Linked DNA regions of Canis lupus familiaris. The protein of the gene in region 7 purifies or fractionates together with the protein of the main gene of each other region. This does not show direct contact. Links are inferred from orthologs where the notes say so. Each region holds a gene or a part of one and is shown on either strand. Other genes may lie near its edges. The genes, in order: SNRPA1, SF3B4, SF3B2, DDX5, SF3B1, GCFC2 and DHX15.

Region 1 (4,217 bases), about 46 Mb from region 7:
CTTGAGGATTTCTCTCTCTTTGCACCACTCCCTGCTCTCAGGCATGGGCTTTCATTCCCTAAAATAAATCAGTCTATCTATCTATATAAAATTGTTGAACTTTACATATCTTCTAAATATAATCCCTCTGATAATTACAATTAGTTTTAGAAGCCAAAATATGCACAAAACAGAATATTTGCAATTTAAATATCTATTACCATGAATATATAAGTATTTCTGAACAAATGCAAATAAAAACAAGACCATTACCAAGTTAATCTATGGGCCTATATGGCAAAAGTGTAGCTTGTTTCTCATTTTAAAAAGAAATACATTAAAAAAAAAAAAAAAAAAGACATACATAGGTCAGCCCCACTGGCCCAGCAGTTTAGCGCTGCCTACAGCCCAGGGTGTGATCCTGGAGACCCGTGATGGAGTCCTGCATGGGGCTCCCTGCATGGAGCCTGCTTCTCCCTCTGCCTGTGTTGTGTCTCTGCCTCTCTCTCCAAGTCTCTCTTGAATAAGTAAATAAAATCTTAATAAATAAATAAATAAATAAATAAATAAGAATACGTAGGCTCAACTGGCAGTATATGTACTATGGCTTCTTCAGGGAATGCTGCAATATTTACTCTGGGGGGCGGGGGGAGAATTACTCTCCACTAGCAGACACTTACCATATTCTATTGTTGTTCACTAATAATGTTTTCAGCCTTCTCAACAAAGGAAAACCATCCAGTTTCCTGATTTCATTGTCAGAAAAATCAATAGCATCAAACTGGTCTAAGGTAGCACCCAGATTTTCAATGACAGGAATTTTATACCCTGCAAAGTAGAAGGAAAAAAAAAAATACACAAGTATTGATATGGCTAAACGATACCTTAAAACCTTAGCAGTACTTCATGGTAATTTGACTCAAAGCTTCCATTTATTTAGAAAGTGTTTACCTGGTACCTGTGCTGTGCCAAACACTGTGCAAGTATCTGGCACATAAAATGAGGAACAAGGATCAGATGGCCCACTGCCACAGTCTAGGAGTGGACATGAAGTCAGTCATGACAACACCCGACACTTATTAATAGTAATATTGGTAGCTAACATTTGCAGGAGTATTTTTTAAGGTCCCTCACGCTGTTATAACCAAAGCTCCAGAAATAGGTAAATGGCATAATGAGAATTTACATTGTAAGCTGCTTTTTTGTCAGCGTCCAAGTCTTGTTCATACATTGTGGACAACAGCTCTTGACTCTGTTTGCATTCCCACAGGCCAGATACATAAAACTTACCAGGATATCCTTGTGATCTCATGACAGTTCTCCCTTACTGTACACTTCCCCCAGCTCCAATTCAGAGTTGAAGGTCAACAGTTTATACACAATAATACATCACCCTGTGAACAATTCACCAAACCCTCACGAGTTTGTCTTAAATGGGCATAACTACTGTGCTAGGTGCTGGCGGAAGAAAGAAACGAATCCAAGCCAAGGTTAAAGTACATAATTCAGAGCAACAAGGGTTGTAGCAAAGCAAACGCTATATCAAAACAAGTAGCCTCAACACTCGATGCACTTCACGCTTAGATGGTTAAAGATCAATCTTCGCCAAGAGAGCGACACTTAATTTCAACAAAATGAAAGCAGTCTGGCTTTGTCAGCAAGGAATCCAAGCTTAAGGCAAAGCCCACAACAGTGCTGCACCTCAGACGGTGTTCTTCTGTGGAGCCAAATCTCAGGCCCAAATTGTATTCCCAGAGAAACTGCTCTTCACATCATTCCTAGAGTCATTTCCTTGATATGCTGATTAGACAGCTGCACTCCCAATTTCCCACCAAGCCTTTACTAAGGTTGAAATGGCTACGTGAATTTGAATAGTTCAGAGCTTCTACCGCCTTACACAGGGAACTTGTACTGCAAGCCTCTTTAAAACCTTTTTTTTTTCTTTCAGTATTTTACTTATTGATTTCAGAGAGAGAGAGAGAGAGAGAGAGAGAGATGGCACAAGCAGGGAGAGCAGCGGGCAGAGAAAGAGGGAGAAGCAGGCTCCCCTCGGAGCAGGGAGCCCAATGCGGGGCTGGATCCTAGGACCCCTGGGGATCAAAGACACTTAACCGACCGAACCACCCAGGTGCCCCTCAAATGCTTTGATAAAAGAGAAATATGGGACAACTGAAGGGAAGAGGGAAGAAATCTTGCGGAAGCAATCGCTTTTGTTCTCCGACGTCATTTCCCCCCTCGCAAATTACAGGTAACACGTTCTCTTACTTACGCTCCCACAGTAACACCTGAACGTATTTACGAAGAACCAACCAGCCGCTGCGCACTAGCGTTACCAGCACGAACAACTTGCCAGCTCTCAAATAGTTGAGACTGAGAACTACGCCAAGCAAGGCCTGCCTGAGGCCCTCGGCTGTGGACCAGGAAGCGATCTACTGGCTGGGCGTGTGAGTAGGAACGAGGGTAACCCAAGGCTCAGAAGGGCCTAGGGATGGTCTCTGGCAGCACCGGGAAGACGCAGCCCCGGGCGGTGCTGCCACAGTCCGGCTCGGCGCCCACAAGGCAGGCCCGCGGGCCAAGCGCCGGCCCTCCGAGCACGCGGCTGGGCGCGAAGGCCCACCCACTCCTCGAGACTCACCCCGGAGATCCAGCTCGCGGTCCCGCACGGCGTTGGTGTACTGAGCCGCCTGCTCGATCAGCTCCGCCGTCAGCTTCACCATCCTGCTGCCTCCCGCTGCCGCTGCCGGTGCCGCGGCCCACCGGCTGCTTCCCGCCGCCTCCCGCCCGCCAGACTTCCCGGCGTACCCCGCGCCCCGCCGCCAGGCCTCACCAATCGCAGCCGGCGCATGCGCGCGCCGCTCGGCACCCAGGCCGAAGTAATCGATCGTGAGCAACGCCCACGATCTCGTCGTCTGCGGAGCTGCTGGAGCGCGCGGAACGTGTCTCGGGTTCTGGGTTTTTCCTTGGGGCGTGCTTGAAGGAGGGCCCCTGATTCCTGATGATGCTCTTGTCCGCAAGTTAAGCAAAATGTAATCGCACCCGAATAGAACTTTCTCATGCATCAATGCATTTTGAGGCGGGAGGAAACGCTGTGTCTGCCCTCGCCCCACCCAGGAGGGACGGGCACCCGGGGGATCCAGTGAAAGGTTCAGGACTTCAGGATTCCCGCCCCACCAGGGCAGGGTCGATCACAGCCCGCCCCGCTGGGATCGTCTTACCACCTAGCGCGCCCGACCCTGCCCCGCGCACAGTTCAGTTTTCGGTTAGGCTTGTGACCTCCAGGTATTTAAATATTTAACAGAAGCACGGGATACAGAAGAGTGCGCAAACCAGGAATCTGCAACGTGAAGAATACCCGCAGAGGGAGCGCACCTGCGTTGCTGCCTCCGGGTCCAGAAAAAAGAACACTTTTCCGAAAGCCTCCATCCCTTCCCAAAGGCAACCAGGAATCCCAACACCACAGATTAGTTTTTGCTTGCTTTTGATACAAATAGAGTCACGCAGCGTGCTCCCGTGCCTGGTGTCTTTGGTTTTGTGTTATAACTGGAATCCGTCCCAGGTTGCATCCAGCAATGGTTTGTTTACTTTTCGCTGCTGTGCAGAATCCCATGGTATATCTCAGACCACAATTTAGCCATTCTGCTGTTGATGGACATTAGGATCGTTTTGTCGTGGGGCTGTTCCGAATACCGCTATGCATTTTTGTTGTACGTGGATCCAATGCACACGTGTCCAAGTTTCTCCAGGAGTAGAGCTTCTGGGCATAGGGTATACTATCATCAATAAGTAATGCCTAACAGGCCAAGAGGCTGAAATAATACTAATATACATACTCTAGCTGTGTGCAAGAGGGTTTCCATCACTTCCAACCTCAGCCCCTTTAGTATTGCCAGTATAACTGTGGGGACTGGGGTGCATGGGTGGCCCAGTTGGCTAAGCGTGGGACTCTGGATTTCTGCTCAGGTCATGATCTCGGGTAGTGGAATGGAGCACGACCATTGGGCTCAGCCAGGAGCCTGCTTGGGATTCTCTCTCCCTCTCCCTCTGCTCCTCCCTGTGCATGCAAATTCTCTTTCAAATAATAGTAGGGCAGCCCTGGTGGCTCAGCGGTTTAGCGCCGCCTTCAGCCCAGGACGAGATCCTGGAGACCCAGGATCAGGTCCCACATCAGGCTCCCTGAATGGAGCCTGCTTCTCCCTCTGCCTGTGTCTCTGCCTCTCTGTGTGTGTGTCTCTCATGAA
Region 2 (4,217 bases), on a different chromosome or scaffold from region 7:
ACATCTCAGAAATAGGGAGCTAGAGCTATAATAATATTCCTCTCTGCCTCTCTTCACCCCCTTCTCAGAAAGGCCTCTCAGCTCCCACAATCTCTGGCCTCCAGGATGAGCTATCCCATCTTCAGGAGCTTTTAAGGAAATGGACACCAAGAGTATCTCCTGAGGATCACTCCAAGAAAAGAGATCCAAATACCATTCTTTCCCAGTCCCGTTGAAATTGTTGTCTTTTTTATGGGCATGGCAGAGGGGGTCCGGGGTGAGGGAAGGTTCTGTCTAATCCTCCAATTTTTCTTATCTTGGTCTTGCTGTCTCAGCTTTTGACACTCCAGCCCTCAACAAGCTCACTGACCTTTCTGTTGCAGATGGGTGGTGCTAACCTTCTCCAACTCTTGCCCTGTCCTGTTTCATTCTCGAGATATGTTTCTCATGATTTGAGGAATTAAGAAACAAAAGCAATCCAGAATACGATTACCTTTGTTCTTTTCAGGGCAATTCCATCCCTCTGGATACCCAGCCGATAAGCTGTGAGATGAGAGATGCTGTTCATCAGTTCAAAGGAGATGGCCTACAGAACTCATTCTCACCTCCTCTTGCTGCTTAATTCCAATTTCTGTTTCTTCCCTCTGGTTTTCTATGGGTATGCTAGTGGGTATGGGACACATCCTGTCTCTCCCAATTGTATATTTTGTAGTGACATTTCTATTTAACGAGTTCATTAAAGTACAGTTGCTGGCATTATCTCTGGTGTCTGAATAAAAGATCCTAAGTAAAAAAGCGATGATAAACCGGGAGAAGAAGGGACCCACCATATTATTGTTCAGGAAATATGGAGATAGGTCAGGCTGTCCACACTAATCGTTTCGTAAGATGGGGCAAAGAGCATGCAAAGACATGGTTGGTGGGCCCGGGGTATTCTGGCGGTTGAAACTGAGGCCCCTGGGCTGCAATGTCAGGTACCCTCAGCTCTGGGCACACATCATCTCTGAGCCTCAGGTTTCCATCTCCCCCATGCAACAGGATCATGTGAGCTCCGACGCCACTCCAGCTCAGACACTCCGCAATCCTCTCCCCAGAAGCCGCGGGCCACGGTGGAGGGCTGCCTCCGCACCCTAAGGCAGCCGAATCCTTGGGTTGGAGGGTTTCCTCAGCACACCCTTCTCCGGGGAACAAAAGGATAGTTTGCCAACAAAATATTTCTAAATAAAGTTTTGTTCTTTTAGCTTTTGAGTTTACATTTTTAGGAGTACTGTGATCCTTTAACGTCCAGCACTGCCTTAAGAGGGTCTGGGCATTTCCGTTCGGCCCTCATCGCTTTGACCGCTAGCAGCGGCAAATCCGCGCAGAACCACGGACCGGAGAACGCGGCCCCACAAGCCGCATCAAGTCTCCGCAACTCCTAAGATGGCCGGGGCCTCTTCCGGCTCCTCCCCCATCAGGCCCCGCCCACCGCCCTCGTGACTACCTTCGCCCCGGAAGTGGAAGTACTGACTGAGGTCAGAGGGCGGGATCGCTGCCTGGAGACGGCGGGAGCTCTTTCGCCATGGCGGCCGGCCCGATCTCCGAGCGGAACCAGGGTAGTTGGAGGGGATGAGGCCAGGGAGGCTGGGAGGCCTCGAGGAAGGCCAGCCGTGTTTTCGCCGGGGCAGGAGATCGGATCCCCCCGGAGGGCGCGAACCCGGCCCCCGTGCCGGCTGGGGGTGGGGTGGCCGGGTGCAGGCTGAGGCCTGTGGTTGTGATGCTCTGTCCAATCTCCTGCGCCTTCCCATTCAAAAAAACAAAACAAAACAAAAACCCAAACGAAAACCAAAAACAAAGCAATTCACAGAGAATTTGCAGCAGAACCTTCAGTTAGACTTAAGAAGGTTCTTTAGTTCTGGAATGAGAGAGATGTAAGGGCTTACTCTCACGTCTTTTTCCTTTTTTGTTCCTATATCCCATCTCCACTCCCAGTTCCCCCGCCTGTCACTTCCTTCTTTCCCGTCGTTGTCTCATCCCTGCCATAATCTGCTCATTTCTCTTAGATGCCACTGTCTACGTCGGGGGACTGGATGAGAAGGTTAGCGAACCCCTGCTGTGGGAGCTTTTTCTCCAGGCAGGGCCAGTAGTCAACACCCACATGCCAAAGGATAGAGTCACAGGTCAGCACCAAGGTGAGTACATCACAAGAGGCGTGTTTATGCATTGAGGGGACAAGCTGCTCCTGGAGGGTTCCGGCAGTATTCATAGGCAGTATTCATAGCCGTTTTGGAATCACCTGTAGATTCTTCCTTTTAAGTGTCATTCAATGTTTGCTTCTGGAACCATTCCCAGTTGAAGTGAGGTGGTTATTTCATGTTCTTTGTGCTTTGGAAGGTGCATGAGTTACACACGAAATTGAATCACTTCACTTAAGTTAATCTCTGCTTTTCTACTTCCCAGGCTATGGCTTTGTGGAATTCCTGAGTGAGGAAGATGCTGACTATGCCATTAAGATCATGAACATGATCAAACTATATGGGAAGCCAATACGAGTGAACAAGGCATCGGCTCACAACAAGAACCTGGACGTGGGGGCCAACATTTTCATTGGCAATCTGGACCCAGAAATTGATGAGAAGCTGCTTTATGATACTTTCAGCGCCTTCGGGGTCATCTTACAAACCCCTAAGATTATGCGGGACCCTGATACAGGCAACTCCAAAGGTTATGCCTTTATTAATTTTGCTTCATTTGACGCTTCGGATGCAGCTATTGAGGCCATGAATGGGCAGTATCTCTGTAATCGCCCCATTACTGTGTCCTATGCCTTCAAGAAGGACTCGAAAGGGGAGCGCCACGGCTCAGCAGCTGAACGACTTCTAGCAGCCCAGAACCCACTCTCCCAGGCTGACCGCCCTCATCAGCTGTTTGCAGATGCACCCCCTCCGCCTTCAGCCCCCAATCCTGTCGTATCATCATTGGGGTCTGGGCTCCCGCCACCAGGTAAAGCTTTTATTCAAAGTATTTTTGTCTTGGGCTTGGGGTGTGGTGGTGAGCGGGGGCAAGGGGAGGAGAAAAGAACTTGATAAAGGGGGACATGGAGTCAGTAGGTGATGAGAAAGAGAGTGAGGGGTGACAGTTGTGGGGAGAAAGTTGTTGAGTTGAAGAGGCTGAAGTTGTTCCTAGTTATCTAGTATTGCTTCTGATTTTAGAGAGCTGGGAGGAAGGGAAGAGAACTTATCCTGCCTGAGGAGGCCAGATTGAACGGGCTTTCTAAAGACATTCTCTCCTTACTATCGTTAACTTGTCTTTCATTTCCTCTATAGGCATGCCTCCTCCTGGGTCCTTCCCACCCCCGGTGCCGCCTCCTGGAGCCCTTCCACCCGGGATACCCCCAGCCATGCCCCCGCCACCTATGCCTCCCGGTGCTGGAGGACACGGTCCACCATCAGCAGGAACCCCAGGGGCTGGACATCCTGGACATGGACACTCGCATCCTCACCCATTCCCACCAAGTGGGATGCCCCATCCAGGTGAGTGTTCTTTGCTGGGGAAAAGGATAGATAAGCTTGTTGGAGGAGCTCCACTGCCACATGCAGTGCTGCCCTCATCCCTCAGCAGTAATAGTAGATAGTCCCGGAGCTCTGCTTTTTTTTCAGACATTCTTTTATAAAAACAAACACGAGACACTGTTCTCTGTTTACTTTAACAGCTACCACCCTGTCTCCATTTATTATACAAGTTTTTCCAAAGAGTGTAACTGTACTCGTTTGCTTTTTCCTTTAACTTTTACTTCATTTTTCTCCTCCGACTTCTACCCCAAAGCAGTGACCTAATTGCCAAATAGAGGGGGCACTTCCATTCTTTACCTGGTTTGCCATTTGGTGTACTTGAAACTGGGTGTGTTGTCCTTTTTGAAAAGCTTGCCTCTTGGTGTTTCTGGATTTTTCATCTGTCTCAGACTCCTTAAAGTTAGCCACATTAGGGATCCCTGGGTGGCGCAGCGGTTTGGCGCCTGTCTTTGGCCCAGGGCGCGATCCTGGAGACCCGGGATCGAATCCCACATCGGGCTCCCGGTGCATGGAGCCTGCTTCTCCCTCTGCCTGTGTCTCTGCCTCTCTCTCTCTGTGTGACTATCGTAAATTAAAAAAAAAAAAAAAAAAAAAGTTAGCCACATTAGTAGGCTTTTCTCCCTCTCCATGTAGCTGGGTTTTTGTATCTGGTTCTCTTTTCTTTTTTTTTTTTTAATTTTTATTTAT
Region 3 (3,500 bases), on a different chromosome or scaffold from region 7:
AACTGCTTACCTTGTGTTTTTCACTGCCTAAAGCAGTGCCTGGCACAGAGCTGGTGTTCGATAATTGGTTCACAAGGTGGGGAAAGAAGCGGGGGAGTGGGGGGTGTATGGGGGAGTGTAGGACAAGTCAGCCGGCTAACCCAGAAGCTGAAGGGACAAGGAAGACCTTCCCTCTCAGCCCTGCCTGGTTCCCTCACCCGTCCATTGCTTCCTCAATCTTCTTCTTCCTCAACTCAATGAGTTCAGGGGTCTCCATTCCAGCTGGCACTGATGAGAAACCTCCAGGAGTAATAAGACCACTGTGAAGAGAGAAACAATCTCTGGAGTAAAGAGAAGGCCCCCAATGATAAACCACTTACAAGGCCGACTCTGCTCTCCCCACCTGTCTGCAGGGGTAATAAAGCCTGTCTCATCTGGTTTGTCCTCATCACTTTCCTCCTCTTCCTCTTCTTCTGAAGACTCTTCATCTGATGGCTCCAGCTCCCCCCAGGGGGTCCTATCAATCTCCTCTTCCTCAGTCTTGGTCTGAAAGAGATCATTCATTCATTCAGCCAACATGTACTATGTACCTATTATGTGTCAAGTTGTTGCAAACTGAAAGTATATAAAAGTAAATACAATAATCTCTGCCTACCAAGAACTCCTATTCTAGAGGGGAACTTGCTTTACATCTCAGGAACATGCATGCCTTCTTTCCAACTTTGGAACTTCAAAACACCTGGCTCCCTGCTAATGAATCTATAAACCAACTACCTCTCCACTTCCTGACCTGAAGACAGACAGCCTTAGCTTATACCTGAAATTCAGCAGCATTGGTTCCAAACACGTCCCCATAGAGTGGTTTCCCAGTCTCATCCACTGGGGGTTTGCCCCAGCCACCAGCATGGTACCCAAAGGAACAGCTCTGCAAGAGATGAAATGCAAATCAGTTCCTCTACTAAGCTCCAGAATAAACACTGAAGCCCTGGAGAAAAGTCACACTACAAAGCACAGAACTAGCACTTGGTAACTGGAAATTATGATTTCAGAGAAGAGTTAAATGTTATAAGGCATTACAAAGCAGAAGTAGTAAGCAAAAAAAAAAAACCCCAGAGACAGCAGGATGGGGAGATGAGAGGCAGAGGGTAAAACTAACCTCAGCCTTCATGGTAGAATCCACACTGTCTGAAAGTAATTCAGGTACTTTATTAAGATATTATTTATTCATGAGAGAGAGAGAGAGAGAGGCAGAGACACAGGCATAGGGAGAAGCAGGCTCCATGCAGGAAGCCTGATGTGGGACTTGATCCTGGGTCTCCAGTATCACACCCTGGGCTGAAGGCGGCGCTAAACTGCTGAGCCACTGGGGCTGCCCAATCAGGTACTTTAAAATACGACTCTAACTTATTACTGACTTTTCCTAACTTGGGGAAGCTTTTAAAATCCTTTTTTTTTTAAAAAGATTTATTTATTTATTTATTTATTTATTTATTTATTTATTCATTCATTCATTCATTCATTCATTCATTCATGATAGACACAGAAAGAGAGAGAGCGAGAGCAGCAGAGACACAGGCAGAGGGAGAAGCAGTCTCCCCACAGGGAGCCCAAAGTGGGACTCAATCCCAGATCCCGAGATCACACCCTGAGCTGAAGGCAGATGCTCAACTGTTGAGCTATCCAGGCAACTTAAAATCTATTTTTTAAAAGGGATAAATTTTTACTTGAAATTTAACAATTACTTCTTTTTCACCTTAATGACTTTGCTATCTACTAAAATTTTTTTTTTAATTTCACACTTCATATGTTAAAATTAAAGTGTAATGCCACTCTTGAGATAAAATTCTATCTGTCCAGCCATGTATATACCCAAGAGATATCTGGTAACACATTCACCCAATTTTAAATCTGGTTATTTCTGAGTGAAATTATAAGTGATTTGTCTTCCTGTTTGGACTTGTCAATTCTTATGGACTGTTTTATGGTGAGCATGTCAGGTTTTATAAAAAACAAAAACTGCTACTTTTTTTAAAAAAAAACAGAGAGAGAGAGAGAGAGAGAGATGGAGATACGGTGGGATGAGAGAACAACAACAAAAAAAATCATCCTCTAGTTAAATAAGAATGAAAGGAAGGCCAGCGCGCACCTCAGGGATGGGGGAGTTCAGCCCAGGAATCTTCAAATTGGGGTACGATGGGGGTGGTCCATATCGCTGCATTGCAATCAGCCATGGCGGAGGGACCTTGTGAGCATTCTGCAAGAAAAAGAGAACAGGATACCATCTGCCCAGCCCTGTCCTTTGTCTCCCTTCTGCCCCAATTCCCACCCTTTTCTTGGCATCCCCAGTCAGGTAACTGGCACTCACTGGTCCTACTGGCATCCCCAAGGAAATCCGTAGCTCATCAGACAGATCTCCTGGCTTCTTCTCCTTCAGTCGTGTTTCAAACTCCTTCCCCTGAGAAAAAAGCAGAGGACGCTGCATTATGAATGCCAGACACACACTGGGAATTCAACAGCAAGAGGATAGAAAAACAAAGATGAGAAGTCCCAATCCACACCAGATACAAAATCCTACTGAGAGCTGCTGTTTCTCATCACTCCTTTCCATGGCTAGAGTAGGAAAAGAAATAAAGGCCAGGAAGGAGGAGAAAAGCGAGACTCCCAGTGCTGACATGAACCCACTTAGAAAACATGGCCAGATTTAGGGCCTACTTTCTTGTCTGTAAAATGAAGGCACTTGATGGGATGATCTCCAAGATCCTTCCACCTTGAAAATTCCTTATCGTGGTGACTGCTATTTCAATGATCCAGATGGGAAAAAAAGGAAACCTTTCTCCCACCCTCAATACTAATTTTTCCTAAAAGCATCTACCACCTGGCACCTCTGCCCCTTATTCAGTTATCACTTTCAAAACATGGACTCAATCTCTCCTCCAAAAAGACTACCTCCTTTTAAGATTTCAAATCCATTCCACCCAGGAGGAGTTAATGAAAATTCTAAGGCTAAGAGGAGCCTCTATATCAGCTAAGAAAGCCTTTTCCACCAAGAGCTACACAGCCATGACCAAAGGCCCTGTCCCCGAACCTCATAGTACAGGTCCCCGTGGATGGTCAGCTTGGGCTTGGTCTGCCACTTGAAGAAAGCATCGTGCAGTTTCTGGTAATCAATGTCAATCTTCCCCATCTTGGGCCGAACCTTCTCTCGCATTTTGGACTTCATGGTCTTCTGTTCTTCCTGTGGAGAATGCCAAAAGACAGGTCATAAAAAGTATTTACCCAGTTCAGCTCTTTATAGATCTGGCTCTCCGCTCCCAAAAGAAATGAAGGGAAACTTCATATATCTCATTCCAGAAGTCACCAAAATCCTTCCTGCTCAAACCTCTCAAAATTATATAATTTGTATCTAGCAAAACAGATGGATCATAGAAAACCATTTTCAGCTCTGTACGTTGATAAATATATTTTTAAAGCCATCTGATCAAGAGACTGACCTCATTAGCTGCCTCTGGAGAGAACTGGGT
Region 4 (4,229 bases), on a different chromosome or scaffold from region 7:
CTGGTGCCCCAAAAGGTGGTGATTAATTCAGGCTGTTAAAAAACTGAAGTAATGACCCCAACACTGCAACATTTGTTTTAGTTCTTTAAAAAAATTACATTTAATGGAGGCGCCTGGGTGGCTCGATCGGTTTAAGCCTTTGCCTTCAGCTCAGGTCATGATCCCCGCAGGATGGAGCCCCCAAGTCTGGCTCCCTGCTCACCGGGGAGTCTGCTTTTCCCCTTGCTCATGCTCTCACTCAAATAAATAAATAAAATCTTATAAAAAAAATAAAGTCAATGAATAAGAAGTAAAATACAGGCAATACACAAAGACATCCCTAAATTCAGAACTAGCACATTACCAACACTGTTGGAAGTTTCCTGTGTGCCACCGCACCCCACCCCCAGATACGGTCGGAATTAGCAAGATTATTTCACGACTTTCTCCAACAAAGGTAATTTCTAAAGCCTGACCTATTTGCTCCCTGATACAATTTAAGGTGGTTAAGAAGTCCTTCTACTTCGTATTTGACGAACTGAGCGCGTTCAAGGCACGTTATCTCCCTGTCCCCGTGCCCACTTCTCACAGCTGACCAAACCACGAGCTGGTTTGAACGCTGTCCTGAGGAAAGGATGAAAAGAAAAGCGTCCCGGACAACCCAACCCACTCGGTTTTCAAAAGCGGTTGCTAGACAATGCAGGTAACTCCAGAGGGCACTGAAGAGAAAAATCCGCCACTATCCTACTGTGGCAGGAGCATCAGCAGATCTTTAGAGTGCCGTTCCCCTCAAAACTTCAATGCACATGGAGGTAACGGCCTCAGTCCCCACAATCCAAGAGGCAGAGAGCGCGCTGACAGTGGCTGGATGCCCCAGAGAAACACGAGTCCCGGGAAGCAGCTTTCCGACTGCCCTTTTTGCAGCCAGGTTGCGGGCGTGCTGCGGGCCTCGCCACGGGGTTCTTCTCTCCACACCCCAAGATCTCGCTAGATGGCCTCTAGGAGGGGGACCCAGAGCGGGGCCAAGAAACCCACGGAACCGCCGACTGCGACTGGGTGTCTGTCACCAGCCCCGCCGGCAGCCCAGACCCAGGGAGTCCAGCCGGAGGATTCGAGATAAAAGGCCTAGGAGCGTCCGGCGGACTTAAAGGGTTTCAGTCCACACACACCCGGGCTCCGGGCCGAGACTCACCAGCCTCTGAGCCGGCCATGTCACGGAGGCAGGTCGCTGCCGGACTTCCAGCTGGGCGCGAGGCGGACGGCGTCCGGGAAGGGCCGCACAGCGCAGACGCAACGCCGAGGTGGGGGGAGAACGAAACGAAAGGGCAGGGGGTGAAAGAGGGAGGGACGTTAAAACGGCTTCTTGCTGCTGATTGGTCATCACGGGAGGACTTCCTTTCGCAGCACGCGCCCAGGCGGCGGTTTGTGGGCTCTAGGTACCATTCTCCGCGGGCAAGATCCCGCTGAGGGATTCTCAGGTGGGTGGATTTGACAGGCCGGGTCACCCAGCGGCCCTGGCCGGCCTCCCGGGGGCAATAGTACGGCACTTCCGGCGAGCTATTTCGTTTCGTATTCCTCCGCCGACGCCAAGTGGAGAAGTAGTGCGGTCCGCTTACCCGATGGGCGGGAGCAGTCACGTGACAATGTCAGGCTCCGCCTTCCCGTCTCACTTGGTTAGGGGCGTGAAGGCTCTTCGGAGACGTAAACATCTCCAAGTGGGCTGAGTGGGTTGGTCTGTGCTGGCCATTTTGTCGGCAGGGCTAGACCTGGGAAAGGGCGGGGTGGCTTCCTTGAGGTGTGGAAAGACGAGAAAAAGGTGAAGAACACAGAGTAGGCTAAGGCGTCTCAGTGCGGGTGGGCCCAGCCGTGAAAGGGGCCCCAAGCCGGCGACTCTGAGGGAAGCGGAGGGTGGGGGTGGGGCGAGAACATGGCGGATCCCGGAACGCCGGCGGGCGTTGCGGCCTCTGCGCAGGGGCGGGGTGATTAGGTCATAGAGCGGCTCCCAGCATTCTCCGCGGCGGAGGAGGCGGTCCAGGCTATAAAACCGGCTGCCGGGACGCGGCCGGCACCTCATTCATTTCCACCGGTCTCTTGTCGAGCAGCTCCGGCCCCTGTCATCGCCGCCCCGCTGCCGCTGCCGCCCCCGCAAGGCTTTGCCATCGCCAAAGCCACCTGCAGCGACTCGTCGCACCCGATTCTCTTTACTTCGTTCCCCGCCAACCGCAACCATTGACGCCATGTCGGGTTATTCGAGTGACCGAGACCGCGGCCGGGATCGAGGGTGAGTGTGGGAACGGACTTGTCAGGCCCGGCAGTGGGGGATGGGAGGCCGATGAAGGAGGCGGCGGGCGGGGGCGATGGACAGTCGGCTTTTTCCGGCTATATTTAACCTTTACGAATCGAAGGCTTGCGCCATTTTGATATTTGTCCGGAACTGACAGAGGGATGTTTCCCTGTTAACGGTCCTCAAGCTCGCCTTTTGTTGGTGGGGGGATGGGGGAGGCGCCGAAGCCCCCGCCCCCGCCGACTGAGCAGCTGTTGGGGACAATTCGGGGGAGTGTATTTCAATGGTTGGAAAGCGCGACGCTTTCAGGAGAACGAAGTCACCGCTGTTCGGTGCATCTTTTCGGGAAGTGTTGTAGGGGCCCCGGGAGTTCTGTGGTAATCGAAGGGGTCGCCTCACGAGCCATTGATGGCGCGGGAGCAGGAGGGCGGCCGGCACCGCGGGAATCGGCCATGTGGCTGAGCCGCGGGTACAAAATGCCGGCGCCGGACATGGCGGCGGCGCCTTTGTTACCCCGCCCGGCGGAGGAGCTCAAAATGGCAGCGTCGAGAAAATGTGGCGCAGAGAGAAATGCGAGACAAAGGGGGAAGCGCCGCCCCAGCGGGAACGCCGCCCGGTCCGGGACTCCTCCCCCGGTAGTTGCCAGCTCCTCCTCCTCTTTTTCTTTGCGTTATATAATTTTGCTATCTTGATGAGGAGCCCTCCGGGGGGATCCCCCCAATTCGATGGGCTTGCATAAATGTCTCTGAGACCACCGTCCTTGTTCTGTTCTCGTTGGTGCTGTCCCATTATTCCTTAGAACCAAAGCTGCTTGGCTTGGAAAGAGCTGATAATAACATTGCTGTTACGCACCTCCCTTGTATTGTCTCTCCCCCAGACATTTAATGCCTAAGCTCACGGGAAAGACTAGGAGCCACAAGCTGTTGTCTATCCTTGTAATCTGAACATGGGGCGTTTGGGCAGCCAATTTCCGACCTGATAAATCCCGGGCTGTTGATTTGGCTTCAATAGTGTGTATTTGGGACAACGGAAAGTGAGAGAGATGGTGCTAATTGTGGCTTTTGAGAGCATGACCCATCACTAAGGACAGTGCTAAGTCTTAAACCTCGAAAAGTCTTTCATTTATCTGTACTGTGTGTCAAGGGACAATAAATAGTCTGTATGTAAACGTCTTAGTAGGTAGTTGAAAATATAACTTTTTTGTTTTAATTTCAGGTTTGGTGCACCTCGATTTGGGGGAAGTAGGGCAGGGCCCCTATCTGGAAAGAAGTTTGGAAACCCTGGGGAGAAATTAGTCAAAAAGAAGTGGAATCTTGATGAGCTGCCCAAATTTGAGAAGAATTTTTATCAAGAACACCCTGATTTGGCTAGGCGCACAGCAGTGAGTAATTTCACAGGGCTTCCTTGGGCTGTAACTCAACAGTGACTTTTAGTAAACAGAAATTTGAACAGAGGCCTTGGAAAACTCATATTTTCTGATAGTCGAGGAAGAGGAGGTGCTTTGGCAAGTGGTATCTTTGAATTTTTCTGTTTAGAGTGGTTAAATATAACTACAATAGATGGATCTTGTGCTCTGTAGGTTTTCTATATGTGGATATAGATTTTAAATGGCCCGTTACAGTTTGCTAATCCTTGATAAACTTAAGGCCTGCTGACTGCATATTGGTGAAGGTTGTTATGGTACTTAGTAGGTTATTAAAATTTGTTTTATAGCAAGAGGTGGAGACATACAGAAGGAGTAAGGAAATTACGGTTAGAGGTCACAACTGCCCAAAGCCAGTTCTGAATTTTTATGAAGCAAACTTCCCTGGTAAGTGCTAGTTCAGAGCACTCACTCCCCCCCCTTTATTAATTTCACCCTTTTTCTTAGCTTCACTAAATTTACTGAATTACTGTTGCTAATTACAGCAAATGTAATGGATGTGATTGCAAGACAGAATTTTACTGAACCCACTGCAATTCAAGC
Region 5 (4,291 bases), on a different chromosome or scaffold from region 7:
AATTCAACAACTAGAGTTTACCAATAATTCATAAAATTACATGTTCTTGGGACGCCTGCATGGCTCAGGGGTTGAGTGTCTGCCTTCAGCTCAGGTCGTGACCCCTGTGGTCCCTGGGATCCAGTCCCATGTCAGACTCCCTGCAGGGGGCCTACTTCTCCCTCTGCCTGTGTCTATCTCTCATGAATAAAATCTTTTTTTAAAAAAACAATCTACATGTTCTCTTAACCCTTTCCTCCCTCAACTATTGTTTAACCTAAATTAAAACAATTGAAAATTGAAAATTTTCTCTCATCAAATTGATTTTTTTCATTGATACTAAGTCCCATTTTTGTTACTAAAGTTTCTACTAAATACTCATGTTGTGATCCTGTTACACAGCCAGGCAAACGTTTTTGGTGATAGCTCTAACCTTAATCCTTACCTGTTTCCTTAGGCTGCTTCCTGTACCAACTTCCCCTCAAAGTTATGTTCTTTTTTAATCCTAAAGTCCAAGGCCAGTGTGGCAGTTCAAAATTATGCTTTTGTAATTGAGGAGTAGGCAAAAAAAAAAAAAGAAAAGCCATATTTGGAGCTTTTAAAAATTCCTGATTCAAGAGTGACATTTAGGATTAAGAGAGGCATTCCAGGGATCCCTCGGTGGCGCAGCGGTTTGGCGCCTGCCTTTGGCCCAGGGCGCGATCCTGGAGACCCGGGATCGAATCCCACGTCGGGCTCCCTGCATGGAGCCTGCTTCTCCCTCTGCCTGTGTCTCTGCCTCTCTCTCTTTCTCACTGTGTGTCTATCATAAATAAATAAATAAAAATTAAAAAAAAAAGAAAGGCATTCCATCAGTGTTAATGCTGACAGCCAGTGGTTTTCTAAGAACCTATGAAATTAAAAGGCTTTAAAAAAGGACGGCACAGTTCCTCCCGGGTAATTCAGTAAGGGTGTGACCTTGCATATTTTATTTACACCCCCGCCCTAGTTTTCCTCTCCTTTCTTAAATGGGATTAGCAACAACTCGCCCACTTTCCTGGGTTGTTTGTGAGGTACAACAGTGTCTGGAAATAATAATGTTGTGCACGAAACTCCTACCCAAATGGCAAGTAATTCTTTAAGAAGAAAGAAAAATGACCTTGAATTTCAGCGCGAAGGACGTGACTGGTGTGTGTCTCCACAACTACCCACTGCAGCCGCTGAGAGACGCCACAGGAGCTCTCGCCTGGCACCGACACACCTCCGCTCGACGTGGAGGACGAGAACTGACGGCCTGAGGCTTCGGACGGGCCTGAAATCCAGCGTCTCTCGCAGTGACTATCAGCGGGTCCTCGCACAACCCACTTCCCTCCAGAGCAGTCGCCGTCGCCCCCGCCCCCGCCCCCGCGTCAGGACTCGCTTAGCCCTCCTCCTCCCGCCACCGCGAAAACCGCCTCCGCGCCGGGCCCTGGCTCCTCCCCCTCCCCCACAATGCATCGCTCTGTTCCCTCTAGGCGGCTGCTCCGTCACGTGTCGCGCGGCGGCGCGCGCCCCCGCTTGGCGCACGCGCAGAGAGCATTCCCCAGCTATTTTTCTCCGTGGCAGCGGCGGCGAGCGGAAGTGCTGGGGAGCGCCAGTTCCGTCTGTGTGTTCGAGTGGACAAAATGGCGAAGATCGCCAAGACCCACGAAGGTAAGGCGTCTTCCCGTGCTCCCGCGTCTTCTCTGCTGCCAGCCTGCCAAGACTCGATTTTACTCGGTTTTTGCCTCGGCCTGTGGTTTCGTTGGTGGGGTGCCGCGCCCGCGCGTGGGGGCCCTGGTCGGCTCCTCGGCGCTAGCGGCGCAGGCCACTGCCCCACGTAATGGCGTCCTACTCCTCCACCGCGGGCAGGCGCTTTGTTCCGCGTTTGGGTCCTGTTCCTTCAGAGTTGCTTCTCTTTTCCGAGCGGAAGGCCTCGTTCAGACGGCTCGCCGGGGGGGAGGCCAGGGCCGCGAATCGGGGAAACGGGCGTGAAAGCCGGGAGTCGCCCTCGCCTCACGGAACTGTGGCGGGCGCAGTTCGTGCCCGGGGGAGTCGGGGGAGCCCGGGAACACGGCAGCCGCTTTTCGGCAGCGCCAACTCGAGCGTAGCCTGCTTGAGGCCCGTTCCTCTTCGTCTCGGCTAATCAGGCATCTAAAATACTTTTTTTTTTTTTTTTGTATGAAGTGATTTGGACATAAAATCTGGTAGTTTTTTCTTCCCGTGATCACTTGTATATTGGTGTTTGTTCCCCACCCCCCCCCCTTGGAGACTGATGATTGGTGGAAGAGGGAAAGGCACGTTATTATTCCCAGCGGTCAAAGCTTTCGAGGTACCTGATCGTTTTGTGGAATTCGGAGAACACGGAATTTAGGAAAATGCTGAGAATAAGCCGGAGTTCTTGAGGGAGTATCCAGTTTCCAGAAATGACAGGAAATAGGGTCACTTCAGAGAAGATGAGGCATGGGCATTGGGAGGCGCGTTCCTTAGGATTTTTTTTTTTTTTTTCTGACCTGGAATCTGAAGCGTTCGTCGAACGGGAGGCTTCCAGGAGTCATTTGTATTTTCACGGGTCGTTTCCAGGTGCTGGCTCCGTGTGAGTCCGAAGTAACAAAGAGTAAGGCCGTGCAAAGTTTTACAGGCTCCTGGGGAGACAGGTGTGTGTGTGTGTATACGTTTTCATTCTTTCATGAGGCAAATTAACGCTTAAATAGAAATACAGGCCGCATGTTCTGGGATTCTGGGTAACGGAGTGATTAATTCCTGCCTAGGTAGGACTCTTCCATAGAGGAGGTGACGTGTCCCTGGCCTAAACGGATCAATCCGTTTTAAATTAGGGGAGGACATTTGAGCCTGAGAGGACATCTTGTAACGAGGCAAGGAGTCCTGAAAAGTGTGTTTGAGTAGTGGACTGTGGCGCTGCAGGGAGGGAAAGTGTAGGCGAATCTGGAAAGGTTGGTTGGGACCAGGATGTGAATGCCCTGGAATAATTGTGTTCCCCGCCAGAACTGAAGTCCAGCTCTCTGCGACATGCTAATTAATGGGCAGTGACTTTAATACTCTTCTCGTTGTGGGGGTAGGTATTTAGGATTTATTTATTTATTTTATTATTATTTTTTATATTTTTTTATTTATTCATGAGATATTTTTTATTTTATATGAGATATATATTTTATTTTATTTATTTATTCATGAGAGACACAGAGAAAGAGAGGCAGAGACACAGGCAGAGGGAGAGGCAGGCTCCCCCACAGGGAGCCTGATGCGGGACTCGATCCCGGAACCCCAGGATCACGCCCAGGGCCAAAGGCAGGCACCAAGCCGCCGAGCCACCCGGGCTGCCCGGTATTTAGGATTTAAACACTGTTTTAGCCCTGAAGGTTGTTTAGGCACTTACTCTTCTGTCTTTAGACTAATCCGGATGTAACCTTTTGCAAAATAATTAGAAACTGAAGATGTTGCTCTTGTTTATTCAGGAGTAGGCTGTTCATTGGGGGCAGTTTGTGGCTTTGATCACTTGTTTGTTGATATTTTTAATCATAAAGATACTTTTGGACAGGGAAATCAAGGTTTGGATCAGGTTTCCTGCTTTTTTGAGACTCAATTAAAAGCTTTGGTCTATAGAAGATTGAAGTTGATTGGCCAAGTTTGCTTTTTTATTTGGAATCTTGCTACAGTATGAATTAACTGATGCTATAAAGAAAGTATAGCAGTATTCAGTTAACAACAGCACTGTGTATAAGACAGTCTGTCACTGTGAGTTTTTGGTAAAGGATGATCAATGTTTAGTGGAAATATGCATAATATTTACATAGAGATACTTTCCTAAAGATCTGGAATGGTTCATGGTGCATCTCTTCTCTTTTCCCTTAATAAGTCATCTCTGATAGCCTGGAGCAGATTTCTTGGTGGGTTTATTTATTTATTTATTTATTTATTTACTTACCTAGGTGCTACTGTAGCTCTTTATTATACTAGAATATTCTATTGTGTTAAGGTTTTTTAAAAAATATTTATTCATGAGAGAGAGAGAGAGAGGCAGAGACACAGGCAGAGGGAGAAGCAGGCTCCATGCAGGGAGCCTGACGTGGGACTCCATCCCGGGTCTCCAGGATCACGCACTGGGTGGAAGGCGGCGCCAAACTGCTGAGCCACCCGGGCTGCCCAAGGTTTTCTTATCCACGTTGAGACTGATGTGTACAGGAACTATTTCTTGGTATCCCCAGTACCTAATGCCTAATGAGTACTGAGTATTAACATTTATTGAGAGATTATATTGGAAATATTAAAAGTTTCACAGAAAGGGGCCGCTTAA
Region 6 (4,173 bases), on a different chromosome or scaffold from region 7:
ATCCTGACAACAAAACTTTAGATGCTGCGGGAGTTTTTACACGTGGGTGTATATACTATTGCACATTCAGAATGGATAGAGAATCATGTCTCTTTGTAAGAAGCAGAGAGAGAAGACGACATGGGCCCTGTGTGGATGCATGAACACCTGTGCACCAGGGCAGACTAATGAACTTATTAAGTAAAAACAAGAAAAACTTAGGACAAATTTTCACACTGATAGCTGTTAAAAAAAAAAAAAAGACATTATGAATTTATGGCCCTTACCGGAGAAGACAGGCATGGAGAGAGAACCAAAGGGAGGGTTCTGGGGCAGCTACATATAGAGGGAGGGGAGCCTGGGGAAATTTCCCTCTTAAAACAATCCTTCCTACAAACCTCTTGGAAAGCCTTCCTGAACTTTAAAGCACGAACTAAAACTTTTGTGGAGCATGGGGCCAAACCCGGCGAGAGAATGCGAAGGAACTCCACGGTTATCTGCTTCAGATGGATGTGGTCAGAGGCGTCCAACTAAGTATGGGCTTTACCCCCAGTCCCCCATCAAGGCTTCCTCTCTCTCAACAGTGTGACTGGATCCAGTCCAAGCTTCCCGCGGGGTCTGCCATCCTTCTTACTGCCGCACATCTTTCTGAACAACACCCCCTTTTCTCTGATGCATCCCCCCCGCCCCCATGAGCCAAAGCATTTAACCAGGCTCTGTTGAAACCTTGCCCCCTGAGAGCAATCTTTTGGTTTTTGCGTACTTCTCTATCATTTATGTGCAGATTTTCCTGTTTAGCTTTCAGAAGCAATCTCCCCAAACACACACACACACAGCATTCTGGTTTGTTTCTTTTAATTCTTTTTTTTTTTTTAATTTTTTTTTTTAATTTTTATTTATTTATGATAGTCACACAGAGAGAGGAGAGAGGCTGAGACACAGGCAGAGGGAGAAGCAGGCTCCATGCACCGGGAGCCCGACGTGGGATTCGATCCCGGGTCTCCAGGATCGCGCCCTGGGCCAAAGGCAGGCGCCAAACCGCTGCGCTACCCAGGGATCCCTGTTTCTTTTAATTCTTGGTTGGAGAGAACTTTACTCTCTTCAATAAAGCGGAAGGCAGCGAACGGGGTTCCAGTCTAGGAGGCAGGTGCAGCGCCTGAATCTTAGAGTTTGCCCAAGGAGAACCGGTGAGCGATGCTCTCCGCGGCGCCCAGCTCCGGGAGGCTGCCGGACTCGGCGGAGCAACACAACCAGGCCTGAGAAAGGCCTTGCACCTCCAGGCCGCCGCCCCGCAAACCAGTCCACAGACCCGAGCGAAAGGGACAGAGCGCGCATGCGCAGGGCGCAGGGGGCGCGCGCACGGCGGCGGGACGGCGCAGGCGGGAGCGCGCGCCGCCGTGGACGCCGCACGCGGGGGCGGAGGCGCGCGTCGGGCTCGGGCCTCGGCCATGGCTCACAGGCCGAAGAGGACTTTCCGGCAGCGCCGAACCCACTCTAGTGACAGCGACAGCACCGAGGAGCCGTCTGCTGAACCCGGGGCGCCGGGGGAGCAGGCGGCGCCGGGCCTTGGGGAGGAAGGGCCACCCCCGGGAGGTGGCCGTGTGGAAGCGGCGGACCGGCATGTTCGGGGCCGCGGCCCTCGGAGCCGGGGCCGGGGCCGGGTGTGGGCGAGTTCCCGGCGCGCCGCGGGGGCGGCTCCGCGCGCGGAAGGCGGCTCGGGCATCCCAGGTGAGGCAGGGGAGCGGGGCGGAGGGGCGCCGGAAGTGACGGGGGTGGGGGTGGGGGCGGGGACGAGGCCCGCGGGGTTCTGGGGAAGGTCCTGGAGCGGTCCTGGTACGGCTTCCGGTACCCACTCGCCCGCTGCCCGCATGTCCGCGTTGGGCGGCGTGGGGGTGGGGCGGGGGGCTGGAAGGAACCCTGCGTGGTTTGTGGCTCCTCTGCGTTTGCACCATCGGGTGAACTCCCACCGGTTGCAGTTGTAAGTGCAGTATTTGCTGTTTGTGAAGAACCTAAATCGTCACAGAAGTCAAAAAAAAAATTTTTTTTTTCCTAGTACTTTGAGGTAGGGGAAAGTGTTACGTACTTTTGGAAACATCCTCAATTATTTTTCCAGAAAACACTTTGACCAGAATAGTACATTAGAAGAATATAGGTAGCAGACACTTGGAACGTTTTCTTGTGCTTGTTTTGTTTTTCATCAGTTATCTGCAAGAAGGGAAATAAGAATAACGCTCCAGGGGCACCTGGGTGGCTCGGCGGTTGAGCGTCTGCCTTCGGCTCAGGGCCTGATCCCGGGGTCCTGGGATCGAGTCCCCCACGTCGGGCTCCCTGCGTGGAGCCTGCGCCTCTCTCTGCCTGTGTCTCTGCCTCTGTGTGTCTCTCTTGAATAAATAAATAACATCTTTAAAAAAAATAACATGCTACGTCACTAAGTAGCATAATGGATTGATGACGCTGTAGACTGTATATGGCGTTAAGTACAATGTAGTTTGAAGTACCCTTTCGTTTTTAAATACAGAATTTAAGCAACGTAAAGTTGTTGACAGTTGTTCCGTTTTGAATTGGAGCTTAATAAAAATGCAGTTTTCTGTTAGTATTGAGGTAGAATTTTTCTCCACCACTATTTTTAGTACAAGTGATTTTGGTGATTTCTTTCATTACGACCTTCTGTTTGTCTAAAGCTTTGAAGACTTTTTGTATTTTTCTACTCTATGGAAGTCACCTGGTCAAACTTTAATTGGGAGAATTGAGGCCAGGAGTTGCCTTTTTGCTTGCATTTAAAACAGTGGTTCTCAAAACTTTTTGGTCTTAATATCTCCTTTATGAGACTATCCCAAAGAGCTTTTGTTTCTGTAGATTGTATCTATTGATATTTACCATGGTAGAGATTAAGATAATTTTTTATTCACTTTTTCTAAATTAAACCATTACCTGTACGGATAGGTAACATTTTTGAGGGGGGACACTCTTCCAGAAAATAGAATGACATTGTTTCAATTTACAAGTCTTTAATGTCTGGCTTCAACGAATAATACAGCCGACTTCTCAAAGGTGCTTCTGTAGTCAATCTGTTGTGATGTTTCATTTGAAATATGAAAAGAAAACCACAGGTTTGTGGTGTAATAGGAATACTTAATAGCCTTTTTAGATGACTGAGGGTGTTCTGTTTTGATATTAAAAAAAATCAACAAAAAATAGTTTCTTGAAGGTCATTTTGCAACATGGCAGCTGAAATCATACTTGTCAGTTTTTTTATACTCCATTACGTGAAAATCCATTGGTCTGTTTTGCATTTTCAATGAATCTTTTACCCATGCACAATTGGTAAAATCTTGCATTGACTGTTGGAAACTCTTGGTTCACTGGGTTTGCAAATGCTGGTACATTTTATATAATATCCAAAAGAATCTGTTAATGTTACTGTGTTACTTCTCATAATCATCAGTCGTTAAGTGATGGAAAGATATTAAGTTCACTGTGTAGCATATAAGTTTTCCAAAATTCGAGTTTTCACTTGAAATCTCTAATTCTTGAAGTGATAGGCACATCTTTGCCATTTTTGAGAAAATGTGTCAGGTAGACATGTAGAAATAACTAGAGTTTGTCAGTCATTCTTTCAAATAAAACTGTTGCTTCTTGAAGACAGTGGCTAGTTCAACGTACAACTCATACAGATGCTTTTCAGTGAGGCAACCATTATGTTTCAGTATGCCCCCCAGAGTGCTTAATACACACTTCCGTTTTGTTCCATAGACTATTTAAAAGATGTGTCCTCAAAGGTCAAGATTGAATAAATTTAATAACTTTTTGTTGCTCTATTAAGGATGGTAAGTTTACCTGTTTGTTTTCCTGGCAATGCATGGCAGTGAAGAATACAATGGCCGCCACTACAGATTGCTGTCACTGTCTTGATTCATATTAAGAAGGCAGGAGTTGGGATCCCTGGGTGGCGCAGCGGTTTGGCGCCTGCCTTTGGCCCAGGGCGCGATCCTGGAGACCGGGGATCGATCCCACGTTGGGCTTCCGGTGCATGGAGCCTGCTTCTCCCTCTGCCTGTGTCTCTGCCTCTCTCTCTCTCTCTCTCTCTCTCTCTCTCTCTCTGTGACTATCATAAATAAATTAAAAAAAAAAAAAAAAAAAAAAGAAGGCAGGAGTTTTACCCACCACTGTTTTTGCTTCATTGTATAAATAGCA
Region 7 (3,500 bases):
AATGCCTCTGAATATTGACTTTATATGTTATGTCTAGATTCTCAAGTGAATTAATATAATATACTAATTTTATGTGTCTAATGAGTAACAGATTAATTTGTTAAATGACAAAGTTAGTAATCCAGTTATGTAGAAATCAATTTGTAGTTATTTTTTAATTAAGAGTCTTTATTATACCAAATGATATGTTAGCCATTTTCAGGTGGGATTAACAGCTATTTCTTCAATGTAAATTTCAGTTTTTGGCTTTTGATTTTAAAATATTGAAACATTTCTGTGAATCTAGGTGGTAACTGGAGAGATACAGTTATAAATCGTGCTAAAACATTGCAGTTGTCTGGGTGGATCCAAGAAGTGCAGTTCACTTTTGTCTTTATATAGCAACTAAAGACTACCCAAAAAATCAAGTATTGAGATAACTGTATTTCATTCACAGTGCTGTAGAATGATCATGGAAATATATAGCAGACACCTGGGTGCTGCAAAAGCCAAAAATGTCTTTTAAGTGATAATGATGAAAAATAATTTAAAATGTTTTATTTAGTTTTAAGTGTGTTGTCGTGGGGACGATACTAATTGAAGTATATATAGCTTGTCAGGTAAACAAAGTGTTTAAGAGATTTTAAATTATGTTTTAAACTCATTCTCTACTGGTAAAAATTGAAAACAAATCTATCCATTACTTGGGATTGGATTGATTTTAATTATCTCTTCTATCTCCTGTTTGTTTTTTCATTTTCTATTTTGGCTATGTCTTTAAGCAAGATGTAGCCTGCCTTAAGGCCAAATGAGCTGAATAAATAGAACGGACCCAAATGCTCAAAATCAAAATAAAAATTGATTGGTGCATAGTCTGTAGTTGAAATCGTAATAACAGTAAGAATTTTTATTATGGCATCTCATATAAGATCTCATTCATTAAAGTTAGGAAAATAATAGAGCTAGGTATGAAAATTCATTCTAGACACTTTATTCTTAATATATAATATATATTAGTATATAGTGGCTTTTTGACATATTCTTAAATTTGCTTGTAATTCCAAAAACATTGACAAAGCCATATTCAAACATGGATTTCTACTTTGAAGATTAAATTTGTTAGAAACAGGGCATGCACTATAGTACCTAGGACCTATTAATTAGGTACTTAGTATTTTTTAAAGGAAACTGAGTTCATTTTCTGTTATTAATACTTACTCATTTCTATCATTGACACACATTCTTCATATTACTATCTAGTTCTAGAATTAGAAAGGGCATATCAACTGTTTCAGTGTTTGCTAATTAAATATTAGGTAGACATATTTGATTACAGATAGAAGAAATGCAGGCAAGAAGCATGTGCACCTTTGTCCCCTCTATTCTTTTTATTTTTTCGTAGACTACCATTTGCTTTTCACTCCTTTTTGCTTTATTTTTTCTATCTTAATTGTGAATGTTTTAGTAATTGTTCATCTACTACACAGTTTGTCACCTAGCACTAAAGAACCTACTCTAGATGGTCTAAGGCAGGAAGGACTGGATAGTGCATATTTAAGGCTCTGTGGACCCATTCAGTCATTCTGAAACTACTTAGCTCTGCCTCCCCTTGCAGTGCAAAAGCGGCCATGGGCAAATGGGCTCCCTGGGTTCCAGAGAAACTTTATTTTTTAAAGATTTTTATTATTTATTCATGAGAGACACACAGAGAGAGGCAGAGACACAGGCAGAGGGAGAAGCAGGCTCCATGCAGGGAGCCCGATGTGGGACTTCATCCCAGGACTCCAGGATCACGCACTAAGCCGAAGGCAGACACTTAACCACTGAGCCACCCAGGTTTCCCTCCAGTGAAACTCTACTTAGGAACCCTGACATTTGAATTACGTGATTTTTACTCGTGACCAGATATTTTCCTTTTGCCAGCCCCACCCACCCACCCACCCTTCCCCATTCTGTAAAGATGTATAGAGCATGTTTGTCCGACAGGCCTTTAACAAATACAAGCAATGAGCTGGATTTGGCTTGCAGGAGTTTGCTTATCCCTGCTTTTATCAGGCAGTTGTAAATAAGTGTAGCCATTGAATAAAAAGCAAAAGATGAAGCTTCTCTGTTCCTAATTATAGTAGCTTTACAGCACTTTTGCTTTATAACTAGCACATCAAAAGCATTGTATTAATTTTACTGGGTTTTGGTTTCAGGTGGCACATTTAGAACGAACAGGGCATTACTTAACTGTGAAAGATAACCAGGTGGTTCAGTTGCATCCCTCTACTGTTCTTGACCACAAGCCTGAATGGGTGCTTTATAATGAGTTTGTTCTTACGACAAAGAATTACATCCGGACGTGTACAGATATCAAGCCAGAATGGTAAGCACCACCCTTTGTTTTAAAGGTTTTTGTTAACATTTTGCTCAGAATGGAATCTGATTTTGTTTCAGTAGTCATGTCCTGAAGTTAATGTTATCATCAGCTCAGGATATGTGCTCCAGGGTTTAGGCATGGGGCTTCGACCTGATGGTATGGTTGATCTCTTTAAATCTTTGCTAAGAGAATAGTGGGATTGTTGGTATGGGCATGGGCAGGATTTGAAGTCAAATATAAAATTGTAGTTGACTAGAATCAAAGACTATCTTTGGAGCTATTCTCTTGTTGTTGTGATCAACTCAAGTCTCCTGGTACTGCACTAGAAATGAATCTGTCCCATTTATCATTAGCTCTGAACTATTTATTTTTATATGTTGATGCTTTAGACAGAGTTAAGCAAACATAAAAGCTACACATCTTGTGTCTTAGCATATTTGATTTACAAATTGTTACTGGAACTGATTGTGTTATCTTAAGCAAAATTACCACTCCTCCCCTTTTGTGTGTCTTGTTTTTTGTTTTGGTTGGTTGGTTGGTGGTGGTTTTGCCAAAATCCATTCCGTAACTTAGGATTAGAGATGTCAGCCAAGAATGGTGGGCTGAAAGCACTTATTTTAGTTGTTGTCACTTGCTAGATAGTGTGAGGCTTTTTTCCTACACAGATTTATGACTTTTGACACTTGTGTAGGACATTACCATTTTATCTTAAATGCTTTTTGGAGAAAAAATTCTATGGCTAAACATTTAAAAAGATTCAGTCAAGTGAATTCTTTGGGGTATAGATCTATATTTATAGTTATTAAACTTGGAAAATGAGAAGATCCAATCATTTGAATACAAAGATATTTCTCACTTAGAACCTGTATTAATACAACCTTGGGGAGGTTGGTCAAAATAGGGTTATTAAAGAAATTAATAACCTTATTTTAATATCTTTACATTAGTGTAAAGAAAGGTTTTTTTTTTTTTTTTTTTTTTAAGTTACAGAAAGTCCAACATCAGAAAATTTACAGCTTACTAAAATAATGCATTTCTGAAAGCGGTGTTTATATGGATTAGGCATTTGCAATTGTAATGTTGATTTGGATTCATAGATTTGCCTTTGTTCATCAGTATATTAATGAGTAATTCTTATCCTATTAGCAACTCCAGTCTT

What was found.
Region 1: the proteins of DHX15 (region 7) and SNRPA1 fractionate together in Homo sapiens (co-fractionation; 3 studies listed by BioGRID and IntAct, with this or other methods). This does not show direct contact. The link is inferred for Canis lupus familiaris from reciprocal best matches to the Homo sapiens genes DHX15 and SNRPA1.
Region 2: the proteins of DHX15 (region 7) and SF3B4 purify together in Homo sapiens (co-immunoprecipitation; 4 studies listed by BioGRID and IntAct, with this or other methods). This does not show direct contact. The link is inferred for Canis lupus familiaris from reciprocal best matches to the Homo sapiens genes DHX15 and SF3B4.
Region 3: the proteins of DHX15 (region 7) and SF3B2 purify together in Homo sapiens (co-immunoprecipitation; 3 studies listed by BioGRID and IntAct, with this or other methods). This does not show direct contact. The link is inferred for Canis lupus familiaris from reciprocal best matches to the Homo sapiens genes DHX15 and SF3B2.
Region 4: the proteins of DHX15 (region 7) and DDX5 fractionate together in Homo sapiens (co-fractionation; 3 studies listed by BioGRID). This does not show direct contact. The link is inferred for Canis lupus familiaris from reciprocal best matches to the Homo sapiens genes DHX15 and DDX5.
Region 5: the proteins of DHX15 (region 7) and SF3B1 purify together in Homo sapiens (co-immunoprecipitation; 6 studies listed by BioGRID and IntAct, with this or other methods). This does not show direct contact. The link is inferred for Canis lupus familiaris from reciprocal best matches to the Homo sapiens genes DHX15 and SF3B1.
Region 6: the proteins of DHX15 (region 7) and GCFC2 purify together in Homo sapiens (co-immunoprecipitation; 3 studies listed by BioGRID and IntAct, with this or other methods). This does not show direct contact. The link is inferred for Canis lupus familiaris from reciprocal best matches to the Homo sapiens genes DHX15 and GCFC2.

Annotation. Positions count from the first base shown.
Region 1 is NC_049224.1:40,139,757-40,143,973, reverse strand, and holds the start of SNRPA1 (U2 small nuclear ribonucleoprotein A'), read right to left. Parts: upstream 2,801-4,217; 5' UTR 2,697-2,800; coding exon 2,615-2,696; exon of another isoform or gene 2,098-2,614; intron 808-2,097; coding exon 660-807; intron 1-659. UniProt on the Homo sapiens protein: Involved in pre-mRNA splicing as component of the spliceosome. Associated with sn-RNP U2, where it contributes to the binding of stem loop IV of U2 snRNA.
Region 2 is NC_049238.1:59,867,874-59,872,090, reverse strand, and holds the start of SF3B4 (splicing factor 3B subunit 4), read left to right. Parts: upstream 1-1,417; 5' UTR 1,418-1,540; coding exon 1,541-1,574; intron 1,575-2,021; coding exon 2,022-2,150; intron 2,151-2,418; coding exon 2,419-2,961; intron 2,962-3,284; coding exon 3,285-3,491; intron 3,492-4,217. Other genes in the region: MTMR11 (myotubularin-related protein 11), read left to right, coding at 69-215. UniProt on the Homo sapiens protein: Component of the 17S U2 SnRNP complex of the spliceosome, a large ribonucleoprotein complex that removes introns from transcribed pre-mRNAs.
Region 3 is NC_049239.1:51,705,001-51,708,500, forward strand, and holds part of SF3B2 (splicing factor 3B subunit 2), read right to left. Parts: intron 3,215-3,500; coding exon 3,065-3,214; intron 2,435-3,064; coding exon 2,345-2,434; intron 2,234-2,344; coding exon 2,126-2,233; intron 905-2,125; coding exon 797-904; intron 526-796; coding exon 383-525; intron 300-382; coding exon 198-299; intron 1-197. UniProt on the Homo sapiens protein: Component of the 17S U2 SnRNP complex of the spliceosome, a large ribonucleoprotein complex that removes introns from transcribed pre-mRNAs.
Region 4 is NC_049230.1:14,616,019-14,620,247, forward strand, and holds the start of DDX5 (probable ATP-dependent RNA helicase DDX5), read left to right. Parts: upstream 1-1,429; 5' UTR 1,430-1,457; exon of another isoform or gene 1,458-1,901; intron 1,902-2,081; 5' UTR 2,082-2,216; coding exon 2,217-2,260; intron 2,261-3,478; coding exon 3,479-3,644; intron 3,645-3,976; coding exon 3,977-4,073; intron 4,074-4,171; coding exon 4,172-4,229. Other genes in the region: CEP95 (centrosomal protein of 95 kDa), read right to left, coding at 1,172-1,190. UniProt on the Homo sapiens protein: Involved in the alternative regulation of pre-mRNA splicing; its RNA helicase activity is necessary for increasing tau exon 10 inclusion and occurs in a RBM4-dependent manner. Binds to the tau pre-mRNA in the stem-loop region downstream of exon 10.
Region 5 is NC_049258.1:6,839,143-6,843,433, reverse strand, and holds the start of SF3B1 (splicing factor 3B subunit 1), read left to right. Parts: upstream 1-1,491; 5' UTR 1,492-1,622; coding exon 1,623-1,650; intron 1,651-4,291. UniProt on the Homo sapiens protein: Component of the 17S U2 SnRNP complex of the spliceosome, a large ribonucleoprotein complex that removes introns from transcribed pre-mRNAs.
Region 6 is NC_049238.1:48,133,561-48,137,733, forward strand, and holds the start of GCFC2 (intron Large complex component GCFC2), read left to right. Parts: upstream 1-1,373; 5' UTR 1,374-1,427; coding exon 1,428-1,707; intron 1,708-1,798; exon of another isoform or gene 1,799-1,957; intron 1,958-2,022; exon of another isoform or gene 2,023-2,041; intron 2,042-4,173.
Region 7 is NC_049224.1:86,203,999-86,207,498, forward strand, and holds part of DHX15 (pre-mRNA-splicing factor ATP-dependent RNA helicase DHX15), read left to right. Parts: intron 1-2,177; coding exon 2,178-2,347; intron 2,348-3,500.